2 linked regions of the Lonchura striata genome follow. The protein of the gene in region 1 interacts with the protein of each later gene in a biochemical or structural test. Links are inferred from orthologs where the notes say so. Each region holds a gene or a part of one and is shown in the gene's direction. Other genes may lie near its edges. The genes, in order: FGFR4 and FGF19.

What was found.
Region 2: the proteins of FGFR4 (region 1) and FGF19 form a complex in vitro, tested with the Homo sapiens proteins (2 studies listed by BioGRID and IntAct). The link is inferred for Lonchura striata from reciprocal best matches to the Homo sapiens genes FGFR4 and FGF19.

The regions. Positions count from the first base shown.
Region 1 is NC_134617.1:3,320,744-3,329,771, reverse strand, and holds the start of FGFR4 (fibroblast growth factor receptor 4), read left to right. Parts: upstream 1-5,742; 5' UTR 5,743-5,797; intron 5,798-6,149; 5' UTR 6,150-6,181; coding exon 6,182-6,254; intron 6,255-7,209; coding exon 7,210-7,479; intron 7,480-7,583; coding exon 7,584-7,673; intron 7,674-7,795; coding exon 7,796-7,962; intron 7,963-8,048; coding exon 8,049-8,172; intron 8,173-8,448; coding exon 8,449-8,639; intron 8,640-8,751; coding exon 8,752-8,890; intron 8,891-8,973; coding exon 8,974-9,028. Other genes in the region: ZNF346 (zinc finger protein 346), read left to right, coding at 1-46, 1,313-1,418. UniProt on the Homo sapiens protein: Tyrosine-protein kinase that acts as a cell-surface receptor for fibroblast growth factors and plays a role in the regulation of cell proliferation, differentiation and migration, and in regulation of lipid metabolism, bile acid biosynthesis, glucose uptake, vitamin D metabolism and phosphate homeostasis.
Region 2 is NC_134608.1:55,200,191-55,208,580, forward strand, and holds FGF19 (fibroblast growth factor 19), read left to right. Parts: upstream 1-4,730; coding exon 4,731-4,956; intron 4,957-5,040; coding exon 5,041-5,144; intron 5,145-7,987; coding exon 7,988-8,320; downstream 8,321-8,390. UniProt on the Homo sapiens protein: Involved in the suppression of bile acid biosynthesis through down-regulation of CYP7A1 expression, following positive regulation of the JNK and ERK1/2 cascades. Stimulates glucose uptake in adipocytes. Activity requires the presence of KLB and FGFR4.

The DNA.
Region 1 (9,028 bases):
TAGAGCAGTACCAAGCTCACATCAGTGGCTTCAAACACAAGAATCAGTAAGTAATGTTCTTGTCTAAGAGTGTTTCAGCCTTGCTGTTAAAATCGATGGCCTAAATATAACCTAAAATGCAGTTCTGAGCACGTGTTTCCAGCTGACTTCCAAACAGAAGAGCAGGGTCTGTGCAGGCTCTCTGTGTCCCGAGGCTGCTCCAGGAGCTCCCTCTGCAGACCGCCCAGTTGTGCTGCCGAGGTGGAAGTGCCTCCGGTGACTTTAGGTTCCTAATAGTTCAGCTCAGCACAGACCTTTGCAGTGAACCTGACACCTATTAAACACAGTTTCTCTTAACAACTGAGATTTTAATTTAATTAAGGACTGGTTCAGTGGAGATCTGCTTGCAATTCTAATCTCCATTGGGATTGTTTGTTTTAAAATTTGGCATATAGTCAGCACGCTCCAGAAGCCTGGACTATATTCCTGAACTCGCTCTTACAGCTGGCAAGTTAAATAATGGCATCCCCTGCATATATTATTAATTGAAAAAAATTATGCTTCCAGATGATTAATACCAAAAATACTTGTTCTGGAGACTGCCAATCTTTAATTTAAGAGCCTTCACTAAAAGAGGCACAGTAATGAGCCTGGGTTGGTTAGAAAGCTTCTTAGAAGGAAGAGGCATTAGGAAATCCTACCTGAAGGGAGGGCAGGCTCCTAGCCAAATTCCCCAGAAGGGACAGGAAGAAAACTGGCATCTCTTGTTCCCTCTCTATGGAATAACAGCCTCCTGGTCCCTCAGCTCTGGGGAGTACTTGATGAGAAAACATCTTTCATCCCAGGGAAGTTCCAGCTCTCGAACAGCACAACTAGATTAGTGAATAGGAAGTATCCCATTCTAGAGAGATAACACTGAGGATGTTCCCAACGCATACACATTAATGTTCTCTTTAAGAACACTGCTGTTGTTGGAGCTGTTGCAGCCACACAACTCTCTTTCAGAATGCTCCTCTGGATTCAGCTGTGCAGTCCTGTTCCAGCTTCTGCAGCCTGCAGAGAGGCAGGATGCTTGCTTTGTAATGGGAGCTCTTTAGCAGTCCTTGAGCTCTGCCGCAGCTAATTCTGCCATGCTAAAGGTGTCTGTTTACACACAGGCACAGAGAGCAGGGATTCACTTGGAAGATTTTCTGGCAAATCTTCCCTTGGCTGCAGTGGGTTGTTGCTCTGCTGACAGCCTTGCCTGCTGAGCAGTGATTGCAGTTGGCACATTTCAGAGCATTTGTGACATTGTCTCCTTTTTTTCCTTTTTGTTGCTCCCTTCAACGTGCAGGATGCCAGGAGCAGTGCCGGTTGTCGGACCGTTCCCGCCACAACAGTATGTCCGGGAAGAGTCAACTGGCCCAGGAGGCTATAGTTACTTCAGCCAAGACCTCTAGAGCAAGTTGCAGCACTATTCTCGGAGTTGTTGGTGGCCCCAGAGCGCACATCCTTTGCCAGCCCACAATGGTTTCATTATCCCTCTGGATAAGCAAAGCCCTACCCTCCTGTATACACCCGTTGAGCAGAACGGGGACTGAATCTGTCAGGAAAAGGATCCAGCTGGAAGAGACTTGCTAGACAGCAAATACTTCACTCCCTTAGAGTAGTTTTCATTGTGTAATTGCTTCCTGTGAAGGTGGGTGTGGTGTGAGAGGAAGTGTCTATCTGGTGTAAGGAGGGCTTGGCAGCAAGCTGGTAGTGGCACCTTCTCCCTGTCCCCTCTGGTGGGCTGCCCATTCTGCTGCTGGACTGTTGTCAGAGGGCACCAGCACCCATGGGCACACCCAGGATGACAGGAGGGGACCTGGAGCCTGGCTGTGGGACCAGAGCCACCCACATGGCCGGGAAGCTGAGGATGGAGCATGGTGCCTGTCCCTAGGTGTGCCCTGGTGTTGGTGTGCTGTTGGCCCAGCTCTGCGCCTCCCTGCCCCGGGCCACAGCTCTGGCTGTGTCGCCAGTCTGAACTCCATCGCCTTCTGGGCTGGCAGGCGCAGGACAGAGCGTAGAACCACCCAGCAGCCACATCCTCCACAGAAGCACCACAGTCCCCTGCCCAGGCCGCAGCCAGCTCTGTGGAGCCTGTTGCTCCTCCAGCAGCACACCCAGTATCCCTGCCTCAGCCAGGAGAAGCTCAGTCCTGGCCACAGTCCCAGCCACTGCCATCCCTCGTGGCCCCGCAGGCTCCATTGAGTAAATCAAGTGCAGATGTGGAGTCAGGACCGGGTGCCTGCTTACAATTAGGGGCTGGGAAAATTGGGTGGCCCCATTCTTGCTTTGCAGTTCCTTGCCATGGCTGCTGCTTTACCAGGCTGAACCCCCAAATGTTGTGCAGGGGACAGGGCTGGTGAGTAAAGCTCCTGCTTTCTTGGCCACAGATCAGCACTGTGTTGCCCAACCCAGCACATGGTGTGTGCCATGTTCCCATGGGGAGCAGGAGATGTTCTGGCCCCATGCACCTCGTTCCCCGTGCCAGCTGCAGCTGCAGCACTCCCCCACACAGCCAGGGGAGGAAGAGGTGGCAGGGCTGCAGCAGGACAAGGCATGACACTGCCCACCCTCCTGCCATATTGCCCTCAACTTGTGTGTTCCCCACTCAGCCTTCACTGCCCAAGTCTGTGGATGCTCCTGTGCCATGCTGGGGGCTAGAAGAAGCCTGGGTCCCTGATATCCCTGTCCTGCAGCCCCTGCACTGGGCCCCACATTCTTGGCTCCCCAGAGGGAGCAGCAGGCTTATGTTTGCCAAGTTCTGCCTGGTTAAACCTTAACCAAGCTGGGTTGCTCCATCAGTCCCTCCCAGCCAGAGATAAGGATGGGCAGGAAAGACCACGGCCTGATGGGGCATACTGCCCCAAACCTGGCTGCTTGCCTCCAGGGCAGGACCCAGCCCCTGCAGAGCATCCTGCCCAGTCTGGGGCAGCTGCCTGCCTATCCAGCTTGCTCCCTCCCTTCCTCAGCGGGCCCCCACTGATATGAGGGCAGCAGGTTGTGGCTGGGGCTGGAAGCTACCATGTTGAAGCCAGTGGACTGGATGGAGCTGGAAACCCTTGCTCCAGGGCTGACCCACTCCCTCAGTGCCAGAAGGTTCACATCACCCCAGCACATTGAATGAGCATGCTCAGCCTCAGATCCTGTGCACGTACAGTGAGCTGGGGCTTCTGTGCCCCAAACAAGAGCCGTTCAGGAGAGGCCAAGAGAAACTTCCAGGAGGAAAGAGCCCCCCAGGCTCCGGCCCCCACAGGAGCCACCGTGCTGCGCGGGCTCTGGCTGGCCGCAGGTGCCACCACAGCGGGAGTGGCGGCAAGTGCTGGGGCCAGGCACAAGGGGCGGCTGTGTTCCCGCAGCTCCGGCTGCCTTCCAAGAGCAATATTGTTGGCACCAGGCAGGCTCCCTGCACCGGCAGCACATACATGGGCCTTTCATGAGGAGAGTGGGGATGATTTACTGCCTGGGGGAAGGGGCAGGGGCGGGAGGATGGAGCCCCAGCATGCCGGCGCCCGGCCCCTTGTGCGTGCTCGCTGCTGCGGGGCCCCGCACATATTAGCAAGGCCAAGGATCTGGCAAGGGGGTCGTCTCTCCCAACGGGACATGGGGTAAGAGGGATCCCTCTGCAACATCTGTGAAGTTCTGAGAACACACTTCATCTCTGGGCACCGCGCTGTGAGCTGTCACTTGTGCCACAGTGATGGGGGCAGCCCATGAGCTGGGGGAGATGGCCATCAGAGGAGGGTGCTGGGGCAGGGGTGCACCCACAGCGCAGAGTGCTGTGCTGGCACAATCCCCCCTTGTTGAGCTGCTGGCGTGGCAGAAGCCGTTGTGGTGCTGCCGGCAGCGGGTGGCAGGCGGTGGGGCTGGGCTGCTGTGAAGGGCTTTTTGTTTGCCGTCAGTTGCTGTTATAAATCAAGCCAGGCAGCCCAGCCCCAGCCCAGCACTGCCCCATGGCAGGGAGGTGACCAGTTCCCAGCTGCCTACAGCAGAGCCCCACCAAGCCCTGGCCTGTGCCTGGCATTGTCCTGGCCCAGTGGGGATGTTCAGTGTGACACTGGGCAACATGCCCACACTGGTCTGCTTGCCCTTCTTCCACTCAGCATTGGGGAACCCTGGGATACAGGGAATCTTTCCATGTTCATCCCAGGCTGTGTCTCCCACAGGCTCCCCAGAGTCCCAGCTCTCCCTGGTGTTCCAAATACTGGGAACATCCCCTTCTCTCTGGTTTTAATTTGGTTTTGGTTCGAATTGAGCTGAACCCAACATTTTTCTGTGCTTCCGGCACACTGTGAACTCTGCAGGGGCGGCCGCTGCTCCGTGAAATTGATGTTCTCGTCCGCTTCACGCGTCAGCAGGAATGAACAGCTGCTGGGGGCTGCTGGCCCCCAGGACTGCTCTGTGCACCTCTGCACCCCAAGGGGACACACACCAGTACTCCAGATGGGGAGCAGCACAGGGTGGATGGTGCTATGGGAGATTGTAGCACCAACCAGACCTCACAGTGAAACCATGTCATGCTGGATGGTTTGGTGCAGTGGAGCAGCATGGACAAGGCTGTGCCCAGGACTCAGGTTTGATCCTACAAAAAGAGGGGTGACAGTGACAGTGTACCCCACTCACAGGGCCACAAGGTCCACGCCAGGCATGGGCAAGGCTGTTGTGTGGGGCTCAGCATAACCCTGGAAGATCTTGCTGGAAAGCAGATGGCGAAACAGATGCAATGCAGGAAAGGAGAGCAACTCTAGGGCCAGACCCTGGCCATGTACTGGGGGACACTGACCCCTCTTGATGGCAGCAGGATGCTCAGGGGACATTGTTCCTTGGGATCACGCCAACTCGAAGTGCCTAAGGCCAGGCATCCCCCAGTGTCCAGTGGTCTTGTATGGGCCAGCCAGCAACAGGGCTTGGGCATGGTGGGGTCTGCCTGCCCCAGCACAGGCAACAGCATAGGGAAGGTGAGGGCGAAGTGTTTATGGGTTGGATTAGGCCACTCCAACGCTGGCTCGCACCTTAGCCACGTTTTATGATGCTCCGTTATGGGCTCCTAATGAGGGTCACAGCCACTTTATGGCACTGACAGCGATAACGCTACAACTAATTATGGCACAATTAGCCAATTAGCGTGTGGGCTGCTGGGCACCCAGCAACGCTCAGCGCCCAGCTTGGGCCATGACAGCTGCTTGGGGCTGAAGTGCTCCCACCCCCAGCAATCGGGGGGAAACAGGGGTGGCCTTGCCCCCTGTCCCATCTGCTGCTCCCCACGCGTGGGGTCTGCCTGGAGGACAGCAGAGGGGAGCAGCCCCGGGTGTTTTGCAGCCCCCTGTGCTCCCCACCCGCGAGGGGAGGCTGTGCCGGCGGAGCCGGGACAGAGTGGGCCGGGGGCCGCCTCTCGCCGCTGCGGGGGAAAGGCCGGTGCTACCCCCCACCTTCCCCCGTCCAGCTCGGCGGCAGGTCGGTCGGTTTGCAGAGATGCCGGAGATGCGGGGCCGGTCCCCGTCCCCCCACCCCTCCCGCCTCCCCAGCGCTCCGGGCGGGGCCGCTGTAACCCGAGCGCGTCCCTACAAAGTGCCCGCGCCCCCGAGGCGGCGGCAGAGCGGGGCCGGAGCCAGCCGGGAGCGAGCCCCAGCCCTGCCCGCCGCCGGAGCCGTCCCGAGCCCGGAGCCAGAGCCGTCCCGGCCCTGCCGCCATGGGGCCACGGTCTGGGGCTCGGCGGCGCTGAGCCCGCTGTCCCCGGACTTTGCCCCGGCCCGCGCAGCGCAGGCGGCTCCGCCGCGGGAGCCCGTCACCGCCGGTAACCGCGCCGACCGCGACCCTCGCCCCCGGCACCATTCGGGCCCCCCCTCCCGGGACACTCCCCCCTGCCTGGGATTCTCCGTGGTCCCCCGCCCCCGGTTAACCTCCCCTAGAGCCCTGACCAGGCTGAAGCTGGCCGGAGAGGTCGAATTCCCGGCGCTCAAACGGGGTGTTTCCCACTCTCCGTGCCCCCTCCCATTCCTGCCCAGGGACCCCCGTGCTCTGCCTCCCGTCCATGCCCACCCACCCTCGCGGTGACCTGGGGACCTCGCACTGCTTCTCCCCGGTGCCTCGGGAGAGGAGGGGTCTGCCCGCCCGGATCCGCTCACCCGACCCTGCCTGTCCCGCAGGGTGGGACCCCCGCGCTGGGGGGGCCTGGAAGATGCGGCCCCTCTTGCAGGTCGTGGCGGGGCTGCTGCTGGCGGTAGCTGCACGGGGCAGGGCGATGGAGCCAGGTACGGCTGCGGGGGGCGACGCGGACCCGGGGGCGGTGGGAGTGGGTTCCTGCTTTCTGAATACTTTCTCCATCCCGGCTGGGCGGCGACCCCTGGGCTGGGATGCGAGTGCTTGCCCTGGGCATGCAGCCCCACCGCTCTGCCTGCAGGGCAGGGCTGGTGGGAACTGGGGACAGGGCACAGGGACCGGTGTTCCCATCACTGACAGGGGCAGGGTGGCTCCAGCCAGGCTGTCCCTGTGCTGCGGGGGCTTGGCTCGCTCGCTGGACACGCGTGGCAGAGAGGGGTTGTGAGACCGCTGTGGGCTGTGGCTGCTGTGTGTGACACCTGGTGAAATGCGGGCAGTGCGTGCCTCGAGGTGGTGGGTGCGGGAGAAGGATGCGTCCCCCGGGACCAGAGAGCAGCTGCCCCACATCCCTCCTGTGCTGGCCATGCACTGGGCTGGAGGCACATTCGTGCACTCCAGGCTCCTGCACATGGGCAGTCGTGCTGCCGTGGTATTGCTGTGCTGGCGACCAGGTTGTTTCTGCCCTCCACGGGCACATGCTGCTGCTGGCCATCGGCAAGCTGGGCTCCACTGCCAGCCGGGCACTGCCAGGGACAACCAGGCTTTAGGGGTCCCAGCCATGCTTGGGGCATGTAGAGGTCCGACGATGGGTGTCTGGAGGGGTTTGTTGCCCTCCTTCAGTAAGGCAGAGCAAGCTGGAGCACCCTGCACCGCTGGGAGTGGTGGAAGGATAGTGGCATGTATGGCCTTGGCCAGGGACATGCCATTGGGGAAATCATGTCCCCGTGCTTCAGGTCAGAGTCCAGCCCTTACCTGCTTCTAGGGTGGCAGAGCCAGGCTCTGGGCTGTGTCACACCACATGCTCTCCACACTAGGATGGGCATATGGAGGGGTCCTGCTATCAGGGAGGGGTGAGCACTGGGGTGGGTGCTCACCACATCTCTCCAGAGCTATTTGAGAGCCCCTTGCTGGAGTCAGAAGATGAACATCTCCTCCTGGACCCAGGCAACACATTGAAGCTGTACTGTGATGCCAACCAGAGTGGTGCCAGTGTGGTCTGGTACAAGGAGTCCCGGCCACTCGTCTCAGGAGGTCGCATCCACCTCCGTCAGAGCCTGCTGGAGATCTCAGAGGTCACCTACGAGGACTCAGGGCTCTATGTGTGCCGGGCACGGGGAACTGGAGAGGTCCTGCGCAACTTCACCATCTCTGTCGTGGGTAGGAGCCCCGGCAGCACCCAGCTACCCTTGGGGCAGCAAAGCAGCCACTGCCTGCCCAGCCCTGCAGGCAGGGATGTCCTTCTCAACCGTTTCCCTTTGCAGACTCCCTGGCATCAGGTGATGATGATGAAGATAGTGATGGGGACAGTCCCCACGGAGACCGAAATGAGGAGTCGGTCTATGTGCACAGAGGTCAGTGCCACACCAGGGCACTACAGGAGAGGGCAGGTGGGGCAGAACCAGGGGCATGGGGCACTGCTGCCTCCTGCTACCTGTACAGGCCCCCTCCCATTGTACATCCTGCACGTCCCCAGCTCCTTACTGGACTCACCCACACCGGATGGACAAGAAGCTGTATGCAGTCCCTGCGGGGAACACGGTGAAGTTCCGCTGCCCGGCCTCAGGCAGCCCCAGCCCCAGCATTCGCTGGTTCAAGAATGGTCGAGAGTTCCGAGGGGAGCACCGCATCGGGGGCATCCGGGTATGGGACAGCTCCTCCCACCACAGCTTCCCTCCCAGGATCCCTCTTCCCCAGCTCACCTCACTGCCTTACCTCCCTCTCTGCAGCTCCGGCACCAGCACTGGAGCCTGGTGATGGAGAGTGTGGTGCCCTCTGACCGTGGCAACTACACTTGCCTGGTGGAAAACAGGTTTGGCAGCATCCGCTACAGCTACCTCCTGGATGTGTTGGGTGAGGGTTCCTCAGCATGTGCTGATCTGGGCTTCCCCATACCTGGTGGGGTCAGAGAAAGGGGTGGAGGAGCCTCTGTGACCTACCCACTGATGCAGCTCACATGTCCCTCACAATCCAGGGACATGGGATGGAGACCAGGCTTGGGTTGCGCTGGTCTGTTTTAGGGTTGGGGAAGGGCCCAATGTGGCTCCATGGTGGGTGGAGAAGGAGGGAGAAAGGAGCCTGTACTCTGGGCCACCATGTTAGTGACACTGCTCTGCTCCCTGTGTGCAGAGAGGTCCCCGCACAGGCCCATTTTGCAGGCTGGGCTGCCTGCCAACACCACAGCCCTGGTGGGCAGCGATGTGGAGTTCTTCTGCAAGGTCTACAGTGATGCCCAGCCCCACATCCAGTGGCTGAAGCACATTGAAGTGAATGGCAGCAACTACGGCCCCGACGGGGTCCCCTATGTGCAAGTGCTCAAGGTAACAAGGGCTGGAAGCACTCAGGTCCCAGATACCTGTGCTAAGGTGGTGACAGGGGTGCACAGAGCTCCCTGAGGAAGAGGGATACTGACCGTCCATCCCTCTCTGACAGACTGCAGATATCAACAGCTCTGAGGTGGAGGTGCTGTACCTGCGCAACGTGTCCATGGAGGATGCTGGCGAGTACACCTGCCTGGCAGGGAACTCTATCGGCCTCTCCTACCAGTCTGCCTGGCTCACTGTCCTGCCAGGTAGGGGTGGGGTTCTGGTGTGGGGTCTGGGATCCCCAGCACGCAGAGGCCATGTCTCAGGCCAACACATTCACTCCCTGCAGAAGAGGAGCTGGTGCGGGAAGCTGAGGCCCCTGAGACCAAGTACACAGACATTAT
Region 2 (8,390 bases), on another chromosome or scaffold:
CTAGGTCAAGCTGGAAATCAAAATGGAATTTGTTGGCAAAGAAACCTGCAATTATTCATTTCTGTTGCAGGACAAAGATCTGCTCAAAACATAAGGAAAAAAAAAAACATAAGAAAACACAGCTTTTGTTGGTTTAATGCTGGAGAAGCACAGTATCAAATATGATCCCATAAAATCGGTAAGATTTCTTCTATAGTGGAATTATGAAGGATTTCATAGCACACAGAAAAGATTGGAGTGGATAAAATACCTCTAAAACATGAAATAATGGCTTACAGTGATGAAAAAAAAGCATTTAGGCTATTTGAAGCTGGTGGGAATTTTGTGAACTTTAGAGCAGACCTAACCAGAAGATATCATTTGACTATGCAAGCTCCAAGTCGATTCCAGGCTCAGTATTGCTCTCCGGAATGCATTGACTGATAGCAATAGCTGAGGAAGCATTAGATAACAGAATGGTGAGAGATATTTGAAATTGGTTGTCTGGCTGTGCTACTTGGAAAGAACCAGCAACAACACATGCCAATTGCAGTAGCAACAATCTCCTCAGTGTGTTGTCCTTCATTAGCAGAGCAGTTTTAAAAGCAGAATCCCTCTGGAAGTGGATCATTTGGAAAATCTATAAGTCTCTGATGCATTTGAATCCTACAAATTCACCGAGGACTGTGGTATCAGGGGAGAGACTGAGTGCTCTCCTGATCCTATGACATCCTGTCAGTGGGCGCGCCCAGCAGGAGCTGTGGAATCTCAATTCTGCACTCATTCACAGCCCCGGGAGAAATATTGTCACCTCCATGCCTCTTGGATTGCAGAAGCAGCTGGGAAGCAGAGCAGTCCCTGACATATGGTGGAGTAACCTCTCCTTCTTAGGCAGGTTTTTTAACTTGTGCTGTGCTGATAAGGCTCTATATAGAACAAGCTCGTGCTCGAGTAACCGTGTATCACAGTGTCCTGTGTCTTCACTTATGCCTTCCCTCATTCTCCTGACATATTCTTCTCCACCAGAAGCAAGAGAAAAGGCTGGACTGCTCTGTTGGCTCTCTGCCACGGGTAAAATAATTTTCTTTTCTCTGACACTTCAGGGATGACTGGCAGGAACCACAGCAGAAACCAGAAACTGGCAGCATTAGCACTGACATCTCCAGTCCTGCCTGGAACCTTACTGCCCTCAGAGTATTTGCAGCTTCTGTAATTCTCCCACCTCTGACTTCAGAGAAAAGGGGGAAGATTGACAGATCTCTTCACAAAAGTAATACTAGATAACACTTGTGTAATGCCAAATACAAAATCTGCAGGAGGTCCCAAAGACAGCCCAAAGGAAGGAGAAAGTCTTCAGTGTTTCTGAGGTATTTCCCTCTTCCTGCAGTGACTCGTACAACCAAAGCTGTCACCATGATATTCCAAAGTTCCATAATTGAGAAAATGTCTCTTCATCCTAAACACCTCCAGTTTTTATCACATTTTGACCCTCACTCAGCCTTGAGTGACTCACCTATATCATTCTTCCTTTGATCTCCACCACAAAGGTAGCCTGCTACAACCTACTTTGACTCATGGGTGGCTTCTTGCCCTATTTCCTCACCATTTTTTGTGGCCACCTTCCTTAGTTTCTTTTCAGTTAGTTTCAATGATGTCGTTATCCAGTAAGGTGCAAGCCCTCTGTTACCTTTTTGGTGTGTTCCAGGATCTCTGGATGTTTGACTTTTAATTATAGCTAATTTTATTCTTCTAAAACACATTCACTTCAACATCATTATTGCTGAAATCTGGACTTCTCGTTCTGCAGAAATTGCATTGGGGCATGGAAAAGTGCAGTGGAAATGAATGATGCATTGCAACAGGTGAAAATGCTTTTGTAATTGTGTATGTTTAGTTAGGAGGTATTTTTGGTCTATAAGACTTTCCTCCTGGGTTTTGTTGTTTTTCCTATCTTCATAAAAGCAGAAAATCTGACACTACCAGGTTTCCTTGTTTCAGGAAGCAGGTCCAGCACTGGAAGTGAATGTGGGATTTACCCTACAATACATTTGTTCTGCAAACATCTCTTTTCCTGCAAATTCATTTGTAAGAAAATGCAAATGCATGTGTCTTTCTATTGAACTTTGATAAAACATGCCAATAAACGATAAAGTTCAGTGACACAGACAGGAACTGAAATTAAAATAATGTGTCGCAACTCTTGTATTTTGAATTCAGTGACACTCACTAGCTCATTTATCTCTAGCTAAAAATAAGTTCTCTTTAGTTTCTAGCTAAAAATAAGTTACCTGAATCTGAATAAATCATCGAGGCTTTTTTATTTTTTTTTCTTTACAGAGGCAGTAAGAAATGAACACTTCCAGGGTATATTCAACCCATATCTCTTCAGCAGCTGTTTTGTGATAGAATTGGCACCATTCAGTCTAGTTAAGTGTTTGCAGACACTTAGCTCTGTCAGGGACTATGGGGGAACTTGGACAAATTATTTAGGTTGGAACCTTGCCCTAACAAGAGAGGCCATTCCAAAAAAAAATTTGTTAAGTGGTAATTTTTGTTTCAATTTGATTATACACAAACCCTTTAACATCAGCCCATGCAACATCAGCAACAGCAACAACGAAAATTATTTTTAAAGGCTCTCCATCATTTGCTGGGAAATTCTCCTTTATAGCCCCCTTTTTCACTGATTTGAGATATCATTTAGTGTGATTTGCCCTTTCTGCCTCAATTTTTGATCCTCACAGAGATGAATTAACAAGTTCCAAGCATCAGTTCCTTACTTGAAAGAAGCCTGAACTTCATGATGAAGAAAATAACACTTGTGATCATGATTATTGTTCCCACTAGAGTATAGCATAAGCAGGGTCATAAAACAGCTTCTATTAACTGAGATGCACAGAAAAATAGAACTAAAGAAGCCCTTCAGATTAATTTCAGACCATAACCTCCGCGTGTGTGGTGGGTGCTCATTACCTTGAAGAATGCCAGGATGAGTTACATGCACAACTGCTGTGGGGCCCAGGGTTGCAGGGCAGGAACTGCCTTTGTAGCAGCCATGTAATAACATTGCAGAGGAAAAAAGAATTAGGGACTTGCATGCCTTAGTATTATTTACTGGGCTTATAATACTGTGAACTTCCGTGATGTAAGGGAGACCAGAATTGGTAGGAAAGCCCACACATTATTTGGAGGATGCAGCAGGAGACACCTGAATGAAAAGTGATCTTAATCCTTATTAATTATTCAGCGATCATTCAGGGAAAAACTAGGGTTTTTTTCTGGGTGTTTCAAGCTGATCACCAAAAAAATGCCCAAAGCTAATCAAAAGCTGCTTTTGGAGTGATTGATGAGATTTAATCCCTTGTTCCCAGTGAGTTTGTTATGCAAGACCCTGGTCATCCAAATGTGGACTGGATTTAACTCCAGTTAAATACACCTGAAGTTGCACATGAAAATAAGTGCAAGATATCCTCCCTCCTAACAAGCCTCTGTGTTTTTGTATAGCTTGTCTGTGTGCTCATCCTCACTGAGCTAAGATTGCTTATGAAGAACAGTTTTTTGTGGGAGTATTTGCAGGAGGGAGATTCAAGTGCAGGGACAAAAGGATGAAAGTGAACAAGTAGCAAAATATAAAAACAGTATGTGGAAGCTGATCGAAGCTTTGTGTTTCAGAGAAGATGGTCTGGAGGTGGGGCTATGTCTTGTTGAATTGTCATTTAATGTCCTGGCCAGGGGGGAGGGGGGGGAGCGGGAGGGGTGGAATTCTTTATGAAATTGCCAGTTTTCTTTTTGGGAATCTGAGAAAATTCCTTCAACGATTACTTTGGATGTACAGCAGAAAAGTCGGCAGCAATCCCTTTAAATATGTCTGAGATGCAAATACGGTGGAAAGCCGCCAAATTTGTGTGTCTTCTTTCCAGGGGCACTCGCTGAGCGAGCTCCCTGGGAGGAGCCCACGTGGAAAAAATCCATGCGCGGACCAGAAAACCTTAAATCGGGTAATGCAGTTTTACTTCACCCAGGATTTTTTCCTCCCAGTCTCTTTGTAAGAAGTGGGGACAATCAGGAGCTGGAGAGCGCCCCCAGAGCGGCTCCCCCGAGGCGAGGCAGCCGCATCCCAGGGGCCAGGCTCCATCTAGTGACCCGGCCGGGGATGGCCGGCGGGGATCCAGCCCGGAGCCGCGCCGGGACACCTGCAGCCGCCGGTACCCGGCCGGACCGGGCTTTGCAGGGCCAGGCCGGGCTGTACCAGTGCCGTGTGCCCCGCCGGCTGCCCGGAACGGGGAGCGGCTGTGCCGCTCCCGCAGCGAGCGTTCGGCCCCTGCCGGAGAGGCGAGCCCAGGTTTAGGCAGCAGCTCTTTTATTTCTGAAAAGGGAAATGAAATACAGGACGGGCAAGGGCGAAGGCAGGGGCTGAGCCGCGGCGGGGAGCGGGGCAGCCTCCTGTCACTGGGTGGGCTGGGTACACACACGCCCACCCCCGGTCCCCGTCCCGGCGTCGCATCGGGGCTGCTGGACGCGCAGTGCCCTGGGACCGCGGGCAGAGCCTCTCAGGAGCAGAGAGCTCGGAGATGCGGATGCGGAGGACGCGACTTTAGGGTGTCACCCGCTTAATATTTTCGGGGGAGTGACCGACCCGGCTATGAAATGGGCTCTATATCGGATGCGGATCGATGGAGCTGATTACGGCGAGCTATAAAAGGCCGGGGGGCGGTTGCGGCCGCGCTACAGCCCCGAGGCGCCGCGCCGGGATGGGGCTGCGCCCCGCCGCGCTGGCGCTGCTCGCTCTGGCGGCCGCCGCCGCCTCCGCGCTGCCGCTGCCGCTGCCCGACGCCGGCCCGCACCTCAACTACGGCTGGGGAGAGCCCATCCGGCTGCGGCACCTCTACACCGCCAGCAAGCACGGGCTCTTCAGCTGCTTCCTGCGTATCGGCGCTGACGGGCTGGTGGACGCGGCCGGCAGCCAGAGCCCGCAGAGTGAGTGGCGGAGGCGGGGATGGCGATGGCGATGGGGATGGGCCGGGGGTGACACTGCTGTCCCCTCTCTCTGTCTGCCCGCAGGTCTGCTGGAGATTCGCGCCGTGGCCGTGCGCACCGTGGCCATCAAGGGCGTGCAGAGCTCCCGGTACCTGTGCATGGACGAGGCGGGGCGGCTGCACGGGCAGGTGAGCACCCGCGCTGCTGTCCTCGGGGGGATTTTCCGCTCTGGAACAGCGGCGTGGTCTAATAATGGGGTAACAAAACTTCCAGGTGTCCGCCACCGTCCCTCCCACACCTTCCCTGCCTGTTCTCCCCTAGGACCTGCGGTTCTCGTCACCCTCACTGCCCGAAAGGCTGTGGGGATTGTTAGAAGGCAGAAAAGAAACGTCATTTAGAGAGTAAATGATGTTCTGAGTGTCCCCTGCCAAAATATACTGAAAGTACAGCCCAGGGTAAAATGGCATTTAGGTTTAGAATTCTCATCGGTGGGAGACTGTGATTCTACTGCAGGAATAGATTAAGCTCTGCAATAGAATATGAGTAATTTCTCACTGTTCCAGGCAGGTATTCTGGAAAATAAAATTATAAAGAGATTGCTCCTTTGGAGAATAGCTGCAGCCAGCTGGCTGCCGGGCATACAACCCCCAGGAACATGAGTTGCCATCTCTTAGGAAGTTGCAGACAAGAAAAGGATTTTGAGGGGGAAAGGATGCTTCTCCACCACCTCACTTCTGCCCTGCTATAACAGCACAGCTGCGGGATTTTGAGGGGTTGGGGAGTTATGTGCCTCTCTGATGCCACTAGATCAGCTTTTTCACTACGTTTAGCAACTAGTCATTGACATAAACTCATTTTTAAGGCATGTGAACATATTCTTGACTCTAGAATTTGACAGCTGCAGCTCAGATTTGGTCTGTACAGAAGCCTGAATTTCACAGAGCGATGGCTTTTCATGATGCCACAGTAAAGATACAGCTTGATTCTTTTTTGATCACCCCAGGAAAATTTCTGCTTATTTTATTTAGGAAAGGACTTGGCCCATTCTCAAAACACCCAGTATCTTTAATAACAGCAACACTGATGTTTCTGAATGTGTTTGAAATTAAGAATGCAGAACACAGAATTAAGCCTTTCTTTCTGAATTTTGTTGCTTTTCTGGGCTCAAAACAGTTGAGGCTGAGATGAGGTGCATAAATTCAGACTATATGGTAGGTAAATTATTAGCTTAATTATTTAATGTATATCCAAAACAAATCAGAACCTGGATTCTGCTCCCATTGGTGTCACCAGCTGAACTTGAGTAATCACAGAATTTTAAAATGCCCTTCCTATAGCACCATTTTGAAGGCATACACGTTGACTGGAGCTGCATTTGTTGGCGTAGTGTATTAGATGCAGGCTGGGGTTTTATTCTGAAAACATAACAGATATATCTGTGCTGTCCCATCTCCGTGTTGGGGACACCTGCTGTCACCTCTGTGCTCACAGCCCAGCCAGGCAGTTCTGCAGGTAAATCTTTACCTTATCAGCAGCATGCTCAGGACTAGGAGAACAAAAGGGCAAACATGCTGCCTAGGGGCTGAACCTGTGCTCCTGCAACTTGGCCTGTTTTGACACTGGAAAACTGATGACTGGGGTTGGGTTTTGAATGTGCTGTGTGCTGTTTTCAGTAGTTTAGGGGAAATGCTGAATCTACTGACATACCGTGATTCCTTCTGGGGGGGGGGGGGGGGGGCGAAATCTGGAAATATTTAAAAAGTCTGTTTGGCACTTGTTTAAAAAAACAGACTGGAGACCATCCCAATGTAGTGAAGACAGAAAGGTATAGCTGAGACACAGAGACTCAATCAATATCTGTTCTTTTTAGTGCACACTTCTTCAGCAAGGATCTTTTTTATTTCATCATCCTTTTTAGTGAGGCTGAGCACTCATAAAGACAGCCAACAATAGCCAACAATCCAACCCCAATTTTTTATCATATACAGATATTTTTCTGAGATACAATGTGTGTGTGTATAAGGATAAATATTGCACCATTTTTTTTGAAGAAAACATTTTTTAAAAATTACTTTATTAGTTTAAAACATGCTTTTGAAAGATAACCAAATGCATGACCTTAATTTTACTCCATTTTACTGAGAGTGTCTGAGAAAGGCCCAGAAGTCTTAAATATGCTCTCTGTTCAGACAGGCAGAACATCCATGTGAGGACATTTCTGTCTCTGCAGACTGAGACATAATCAGCAATTCTCTTTTGTTGACCAAGGTTCAATCACCTGCAGTAGCTGAGACTGAAATAGCAACAGAGTTGTAAGAAATACAGTACTGGTGTAAAGATCTAGAGAGGTCTGCTCTACTGATATGGGTTCAGTATACAACTATAATACTATATATACATATATATATTTATAACTTAAGATGTTACAGGTATATAGTATCTGTACAGGCCATTGCAAATGGAATCTTACAAATTCATACCTAAGGAAATACATTCTTCTGTACAAAGTCCTAACTTGTGCTAGTATTCATTCAACAGTTCTCATGTTAACATGAAAATGACACTTTGTAAAAGGATCCTTAGCAATTTCAGTAAATTCTGAGTGGAAAAAGGTGGAAATTACCTTTTAGCATTGTTTTACTGATTGGCCACTCTGCCTTTCTACTGACCTGATCCTGAAGCCCTTGCACAGGCAAATCTCTAAATCAGCTCTGGCATCTGAGACTTTTTTCCCAGTGCTCAGACAGGATAAGTGTAGTGGCTGTGGAGAAGCACATCCCAGGATTCAAAGCTTATTTAATGGGATGGACATGGAAAGAACTTCAGGGCTTCTGGAATAGAATAGAATAGAATAGAATAGAATAGAATAGAATAGAATAGAATAGAATAGAATAGAATAGAATAGGGACTGGGAAAGCCAGGATACCCCCACTGAGGGACTAGGACTTTTCCCACCCAAGGTTTGTTTTGTGGTTGAATACAACCAGCCTGGTGGGCATATTTTTAATTCTCACTATTCCTTGCTTTTCAGCTCAGGTATTCCACTGAAGACTGCTCCTTCGAGGAGGAGATTCGCCCAGACGGCTACAATGTGTATAGATCCAAAAAACACGGAATATCAGTGTCTTTGAGCAGTGCCAAACAAAGACAGCAGTTCAAGGGGAAAGATTTCCTTCCCCTGTCTCACTTCTTGCCCATGATCAACACTGTGCCCATGGAGTCAGCAGACTTTGGTGAATATGGTGATTACAGCCAGGCCTTTGAGCCAGAGGCCTTCTCCTCGCCTCTGGAGACGGACAGCATGGACCCCTTTGGCATCGCCTCCAAACTGTCCCTAGTGAAGAGCCCTAGCTTCCAAAACTGACTGTGCTCCCAACATGTGTTCACAGAAATACTGAAGAGTACTGCAGGGTTTGTAGCTTTTTGTGTAGTGG